Callithrix jacchus: one gene and its partner. The protein of the gene in region 1 interacts with the protein of each later gene in a pairwise test. Links are inferred from orthologs where the notes say so. Each region holds a gene or a part of one and is shown in the gene's direction. Other genes may lie near its edges.

Region 1 (3,566 bases):
TAGGGTCTCACTCTGTTGCCTAGGCTGGAGTGCAGTGGTGCAGTCATGGATCATTGCAACTCTACCTCCCAGGTTCAGGTGATCCTCTCACTCCAGCCTCCTGAGTAGCTGGGACTACAGGCGCATGCCACCACACCTGGCTAATTTTTGTATTTTCTATAGAGGTGGAGTTTCACTGTGTAGCCCAGGCTGGTGTGGAACTCCTGGGCTCAAGTGATCTGTCTCCCTTGGCCTCCCAGATTGCTGGGATTATGGGTGTGAGCCACCACACCTAGCTAAGAAGTTTTTTTTTTTTTTTAAAGCCTGTTTGCATTGAATGTATATTGTATTTTGAATAATAATTACATGATGCCAAAACTGAAAGTGTACAGTAAAATTTCCCATCGTTGTCTCTTATCTGATGGGAAACTATTCCCCCCAGAAAGTAATGTGGCATTTTTTATTGTTTTTCTTTTTTACTGGCGCTACCCGTTGTGAACGTAGGCAGGCATTAGTTTCTTATATATCCTTTAAAGAGTTTTTTATTTTTAAATTTTATTATTTTTTTATTAGTAGTGGTAGTAATTTTTTTTTTTTTTTTTTGAGACAGAATCTCTTTCTCTCTTGCCCAGACTAGAGTGCAGTGGCGCAATCATGGTTTGCTTCAGCCTCAACTTCCTGGGCTCAAGTGATTCTTTTTTCTCAACCTTCTGAGTACCTGGGACCGTAGATGTACGCCACCGCCCCTGGCTCATTTTTGTATTTTTTAAAGAGACGGTTTCACCATGTTACCCAGGCTGGTCTCGAACTTCTGGGCTTAAGCATCTCTCCCACCTTACCCTCCCAAAGTGCTAGGATTACAGGTGTGAGCCTCCTCGATCAGCCTATTTATTATTATTATTATCATTTTTTTGTAGAGGTGGGGTCTTGCTACATTGCCTAGGCTAGTTTTGAACTTCTGGCACTCAGCAGTCCTCCTGCCTCAGCCTCCCAAATTTCTGGGATTACTGTGCCTAGCTTTAGAGTTTTTAAAATGCCCAGATAAGCAAATATTAATTGCCATTTGTTCCTTTTATATTATTGGAATACTGCTTAAGAAGTTTCATTAAAACCCTTTGCTGGTTAGGCATGGTGGCTCATAACCTGTAATCTCAACACTTTGGGAGGGCAAGGTGGGTGAATTGATTGAGTTTAGGAGTTTGAAACCAGCCTGAGCAACATGATGAAACCTTATCCCTACAAAAACAAAATAAAAAGATGAGCCAGGTGTGGTGGCATGCACCTGTAGCCCCAGCTACTCGGGAGGTTGAGGTGGGAGGATTGCTTAAGCACAGGAGGTCGAGTGAGCCATGATTACGGCACTGCATTCCAGCCTGGGTGACACAGTGAGTGACGCCTTGTCTCAAAAACAAATGAACAAAAAACCCTTGCTTGGCTTTGCCTTATTGAAACTGTTATTTCTTTCTTTTTTGTTTTTTTGTATCCTGGCAATATAATTTCTTGGCTCTACTATTTTCTCTCAGCATTGTTTATTTCTCCAACATTTTCCTATGAAAACGTTTTAACCATACAGAAAAATTGAAAGAATTACACAGTGGACACCTATACGGCCACTGCCTAGATTCTACAACTTAAAACACTTTAAGTATTGATTTTGGTCTTTATGTTGGTATGTAGGTAATCAGCTTCCTGAAACTTTATGAAGTCATTATTCTCTTATTAAGGGAACTTTGGGGCTTTTGCTGTTTTGTTGTTGCACCATATAGTCTTACAGATGTGTCTGGGGTATTTGGAATTTCCTGGTTACAGTATATGCACATATTCAGCTTTACTAAGGAGTGCTGGATTAGTATAAAATGGGTTATACCAATTTATACTCGAGTTCGTGTTTCCTTTCCACTATTGTCCAACAATTAGTATCAATTTCTTGATTTTTTTTCATTCTAGAGAAGTATCTGTAGTGTTAGTTTTGCTTCTAAGAAGTTGAGTGTTCCTTACATTTGACTACTCAGTTTTCATTTATTGCCTGTACATATCTTTAACCCATTTCTCTATAGTGACTTTTAAAATATTTTATATTCTCTAGGCTAATCATTGTTCTACGTTTTGGAGATATCCTCCAGTCATTGTCCTGTCTAACTTTTCTTTTTGCATAGAAACGTTTTTTTTTTTGAGATGGAATGCAGTGGTGCCGTCTTGGCTCACTGCAACCTCTGCCTCCTGGGTTCAAGTGATTCTCCTGCCTCAGCCTTCTGAATAACTGAAATTACACCGGCCACCATGCCCAGCTAATTTTTTGTATTTTTTTAGTAGAGACGGGTTCTACCATGTTGGCCAGGCTGGTCGCATCTATGACCTTGTGATTCGCCTGCCTCAGCCTCCCAAAGTGCTGGGATTATAGGCGTGAGCCACCACGCCCAGCTGCGTAGAAGCTTTTTAATGTGGTCAAGTATGGTACTCTGTCTACATGGCTTGCTTTTATCTAATAAGATCTTCTGCCTTCTAGGGTTATAAAGATTCTTCAAGCTTCATTTTTGCTTTTCAAGCTTGGCTGTTAATTGCTCAAGTCAACCTCTAGCTAGTTATTATCCCAACATAGAGATAAGTTGTCCCAGCAGTGGAATGAGTACCTTTGACAAAATGCCACTGAAGAATCAACTTGTTGTTGTAGGTCATTCAGTGGTGCACCCACCACAAGGATGACCCTCCTCCTCCTGAGGATGATGAGAACAAAGAAAAGCGAACAGATGATATTCCTGTTTGGGACCAAGAATTCCTGAAAGTTGACCAAGGAACACTTTTTGAACTCATTCTGGTAAGTTTTTTTGTTTTAATTTTTTAAATTTTTATTTATTTATTTATTATTATTTTTTTTGAGACGGAGTTTCGCTCTTGTTACCCAGACCGGAGTGCAATGGCACGATCTGGGCTCACCGCAACCTCCACCTCCTGGGTTCAAGCAGTTCTCCTGCCTCAGCCTCCGTAGTAGCTGGGACTATAGGCATGCACCACCATGCCCAGCTAATTTTTGTATTTTTAGTAGAGACGGGGTTTCACCTTGTTGGCCAGGAATGTCTCTATGTCTTGACCTTGTGATCCACCCACCTCGGCCTTCCAAAGTGCTGGGATTATAGGCGTGAGCCACCGCACCCGGCCTTGTTTTTTTTTGAGACGGAGTCTCGCTCTGTCGCCCAGGCTAGAGTGCAGTGGTGTGTTCTCGGCTCCCTGCAAACTCTGCCTCCCAGGTTTAAGCAGTTCACTCCACCTCCCAAGTAGCTGGGATTACAGGTGTGTGCCACCGTGCTTAGCTAATTTTTGTATTTTTAAGTAGAGATGGGGTTTCACCATGTTGGTCAGGCTGGTCTCAATCTCTTGACCTTGTGATCCACCTGCCTCAGCCTCCCAAAGTGCTGGGATTATGGGCATGAGCCACCATGCCTGGCATCTGGTAAGTTTTTTTTAACATATAAAATAGCTCTATTCCAGAGCCTTTAAATATTACTTCTTACAGATTTAAAATTTGCTAACTTCATTGACACTGAATTTTAATACTCTGAATTAAAATGTAATGCCATATTTAAATCCAC
Region 2 (4,203 bases), on another chromosome or scaffold:
CTTTGTATTTAGCAATATTTCCTGTTTTATGTGAAGGAGATAAATTTTCTTTGTATTAAAAGAGCAAAATAAATTTGTTTTCCTTGAAAGCAAAACAAGAAAAAACAGGGGAAGCCCTGCAAGTGACAAGTGGGTCCAGGAGCGCGTGGCAGGGAGCCAGCCATGGAGGTAAGACCAGCAGTGGAGGTGAGTCCTAGGAAAGTGGGCTGGGAAGTAGGAGAGAGCGGGAACCTCCCCTGGAAACGTTCCCTCTTTCAGGTCTTCCTAGCCCCTTGAGGTGGGAATGTTGACCAGATGGATGTGGTCCCACCCCAAAGGGTGGAAGTGGGGATTCAGTGGGACCAGTGTCTGCCCATCATGCCTGCGTGGGGGTTGTGGGGGGAAGCAGGGAGTTCTGGGAACCTGGAGATGGGGGATGCTCCGTCACACTCACTGGTACCAGACAGATGGCGGAGGTGAGCCAGGCTGGAGGTCGAGTTAACAGGGTAAAGAGGCCAGGGCCCTAGTTTTGCAATCCGCTGATTGGCAGCTCCTCCTATGTGTTCTTTCAAAGAAGCCCCTCTTGGGAAGCCCTTCGCCCCACCCACCTGTTGTCGTTCCTTTTTTGGGCGGGGCTGAGGCTTCCAGGCTGGGTCTTGAGAAATCTTGGTGGGCGGAAACTGTGGGGCACTTGAGTATCAACTAACAACGTTTGCCTCTATTTCCAGGGGCGAGCCAAGCACGGTGCCCCTTGAACACCTAACAGTCCCGGGAGAAGACCCACCTCTGGCTGGATGGACCGGGATCGCCTGTGGGAGTGGCTCAGAACTGAAAGCCTGCGACTCCTGGCGACCGGCCAGGCACACCCCCTACTCAGCTACACTGCTCCCGAGCGCTGGAGGGGAGCTTCCAGTAGCCCACTAGCTACTGGGCTCCCACTAGCCCACCCTCAAGCTGGCGTTTTGCACTTGCGATTAACTGGGGTGGGCAGAGGGGTCTCCGCTCAAGGGAGTGTTCAGAACCAGCCCCTCCTCCCCCACCCTCTCTCCTGCAGGGCCCTACTGCCCCTCGAAAGCCCTGTCAGGGAAAAGGAACCTGCGGGCACCAAATTCCGTACCGCCCCCCGCCTCCCACGAGAACAGCCCAATAGGCCGCCGTCACCAGCTGGCTAGAGCAGCCGCCGGTGACATCTGCGCCGCGCCCACGCGTCGGAGACAGGATCCACCTCGGCTCCCGCCTGCATTGGGGAGCCCACCTACCCACCTCCCCTCTATACTAACCTGGCCGCCTCGGCCGGGCCTGGGTTCCCACGCCCGCCAGGCTCCGCTCCACTCGCGCCGCTTCCGGGTGTGCGCGGAGGCTCTGGGGCGGCGCCCCAGCCCTAGCCACCCTGTCCGCCCGCGTGTCCCGCCCCGGTGGCTGCTTCCCGCCTGCTGTCCTCTGAGGTCAGTCCCTCGCACCGGGCAAAGCCCATCTAGTCCCCTGAGCAGGTAAGACACAGGCGCCCAAGTTTAGACGGCAGGAAGACCTGGACTTTGGGGGTTTGCGATTCTTACGAGGCCGGGGGCTCAGAAGAGCGAGAGTTGCCAGACTTTGGTAGAAAGGGGGCGCCCTCTGTAGACCAGAATTTTCTGGTGCCCCTGGGGATCCGGCTGCATGATAGCTGCTACGACTGGACACTGAAAACAGGGTGCTCATGGGTCCCAGGTACAAGCCTGGTAGAGCGTATCTGAAGCCCCAGGAAACACGTGGCACAAATTCCGGGAGAAACTTAGCCCGGAAGATATGGGGACATTAGCTGGCGACTGGTGTGAAGCCTTCTGTATGCAAACCTTCAGGAACCTTAAAACAAGATTGGGGGTTGGGTGCGGTGGCTCAAGCCTGTAATCCCAGCACTTTGGGAGGCCAAGCCGGACGGATCACGAGGTCAGGAGTTCGAGACCAGCCTGGCCAATATGGTGAAACCTCGTATCTACTAAAAATACAAAAATTAGCCGGGCGTGGTGGCGCCTACCTGTAATCCCAGCTACTCGGGAAGCTGAGGCAAAAGAATCGATTGAACCCGGGAGGCGCAGGTTGCAGTGAGCCGATATCGCGCCACTGCATTCCAGCCTGGGCGACAGAGCTAGACTCTGTCTCAAAACAAAACACCAAGATTGGCAACTTCAAAGAGGACGCACACGTTCCAGTAACCCCATCCCCCAGTAAAGGCCGCGCTCCGGGGTGGGTGTGCGGAGTTCCAGCCGAATCCAAATTGCCCGCGGGAGGCAGGGCTGCTCAGGGTTCGAAACTTGAACTTTGAGTCCCTAGAGCCGTCTCAGGCACTAGAGCCGTCAGGTCCCAGAGCCCCAAGCTTTTTCTCACCCTGTCTTAGGAAGCACCCGGGACACAGCCGTCAGGTCCCAGAGCCCCAAGCTTTTTTTCACCCTGTCTTAGGAAGCACCCGGGACACATCCCCGTGAGGCGGAGGCGGGGAAGGAGTCTCCCCTCTCGGGGCGTATTCAGCTGTGCCCCGCCCACGCCCCGCTTCCTGATTGGCTCACGGTCCCGGACAAAGAAAAGTCTGAATTAATGTTCCCGCCTTATTAACCCTGCAGTCACTTGCTGGTGTTAAGATGGGGTATCTCAGGCCCGGCATGATGGTTCATGCCTGTAATCCCAGCACTTTGGGAGACCGAGGCGAGCCGATCGCTTGAGCCCAGGAATTCATGGCCAGTTTGGGCAACAAAGCGAGACCTCGTCTCTGCAACAAAATTACAAAAATTAGCCAGGCTTGCTGGCTTGCCCCTGTAGTCCCAGCTACTAGGGAGGCTGAGGTGTGAGGATTGCTTGAGCCCGGGAGACTGAGGGTGCAGCGAGTTGTCAGTGCGCCACTGCACTCCAGCCTGGGTAAAGAGCGAGACCCAGTCTCAAAAAAAAAAGGTGAGGTTTCTCAACGTGGAACCTGTGGAGTCACCCGGGGCTTGTTGAAATGCAGATTCCTGGGCCTTACCCTTTCAGGAGAACCTGATTTAGTAGGTGAGGTTGTGAAATCTGCTTTGTGAACAAGTGTTAGGGTTATCTGATGCCCCATGATGTCTGAGAGGGCCTCAGTTCCTCAGGCCACATGCGTTTGTACAACAAAGCTTGATCTTCCCGCAACGCTTTGCGCCTTCCTGAGCCCAGAGACATCCCTCTTTCTCCAGGCCAGAGCTATTGGGAGTGGCGGATCCTCCCACCCCAGACGGATCTGGGCCATGGCTGAGCCTGGAGAGCGACTGCCAGAGGAGGTGCTGGCGCTCATCTTCCGCCACCTGTCCCTGAAGGACCGTGCTGCAGCCGCCAGGGTCTGCAGGGCCTGGGCTGACGCTGCTAACTCCAGCGCAGTGTGGCACGACACAAAAATCAGGTGAGCCTGCTCCTCCACACCCCTCTCCCTGCCTCCCTTTCACCTTCTCTGTGGAGTCGTGGGCTAGGCAGATTCAGGTTGACTCCCCCATATTAAAAAATAATCGCTGACATTTATTAACTGCCTAACACATACCAACCATTGTTTTTAAGTGCCTTACATATATTAACTAATTTAATCCCTACGAAAACCTTGTGTGGTAGATAGGTATCATTACCTCCATTGCCCAGATAGGAAACTGAGGCAGAGAGACTTAATCACTTCCCACGGATCACTCAGCTAGGGAATGGCAGAGGCGGAATTCCAAGCTAGCAGTCCAGAGGCCAGGCCAAGACACCTTAGAGACAGCTGAGAAAGTCCAGTTCCTAAAATATCATTGGTTCTCCATACCCGGGTTTCAACCTGTGGCAGATGCCACTAAACTCTTCTGAAAGGATAGGATGGGAGTTCCCTCCTTTGGGTCAACAGGTGTGGTCTGTACAGAGGTGGGGAGGGAGGCAGGAAGTAGGATGGCAGCTGGAACCCCAGCTAAGGCGTAGGTAGAGGCTTCTCCCCCGGTCTTGGGGACTCAGCCGAGGCCTTTTCTGCACGACTCTAACCCAAGTTGCGAATGTGAGCTGGAAGGCATGCTGCCACCTTATCTGTCCGCCTGCCTTGACCACGTTCACAACCTACGGCTGGAATTTGAGCCGTCGAGGGAGCCGAGTCGCCGGGCGGCCATCAAACTGCTGATGACTCTGGCGGACCGTGCCCTAGGGCTGCGAGGCCTCTGCCTGGAGTGCCGCGGAGAAAAGCCGCTCTTCGACTCGGGCCACGACGTCCTGGAGGCTGTGCAC

What was found. The genes of interacting proteins can lie anywhere in the genome.
Region 2: the proteins of SKP1 (region 1) and FBXL8 interact in binary tests that used the Homo sapiens proteins (3 or more experiments, as listed by UniProt). The link is inferred for Callithrix jacchus from reciprocal best matches to the Homo sapiens genes SKP1 and FBXL8.

Annotation. Positions count from the first base shown.
Region 1 is NC_133503.1:74,173,077-74,176,642, forward strand, and holds part of SKP1 (S-phase kinase-associated protein 1), read left to right. Parts: intron 1-2,650; coding exon 2,651-2,794; intron 2,795-3,566. UniProt on the Homo sapiens protein: Essential component of the SCF (SKP1-CUL1-F-box protein) ubiquitin ligase complex, which mediates the ubiquitination of proteins involved in cell cycle progression, signal transduction and transcription.
Region 2 is NC_133521.1:24,668,499-24,672,701, forward strand, and holds the start of FBXL8 (F-box/LRR-repeat protein 8), read left to right. Parts: upstream 1-1,371; 5' UTR 1,372-1,424; exon of another isoform or gene 1,425-1,469; intron 1,470-3,164; 5' UTR 3,165-3,215; coding exon 3,216-3,367; intron 3,368-3,584; exon of another isoform or gene 3,585-3,971; coding exon 3,972-4,203. UniProt on the Homo sapiens protein: Substrate-recognition component of the SCF (SKP1-CUL1-F-box protein)-type E3 ubiquitin ligase complex.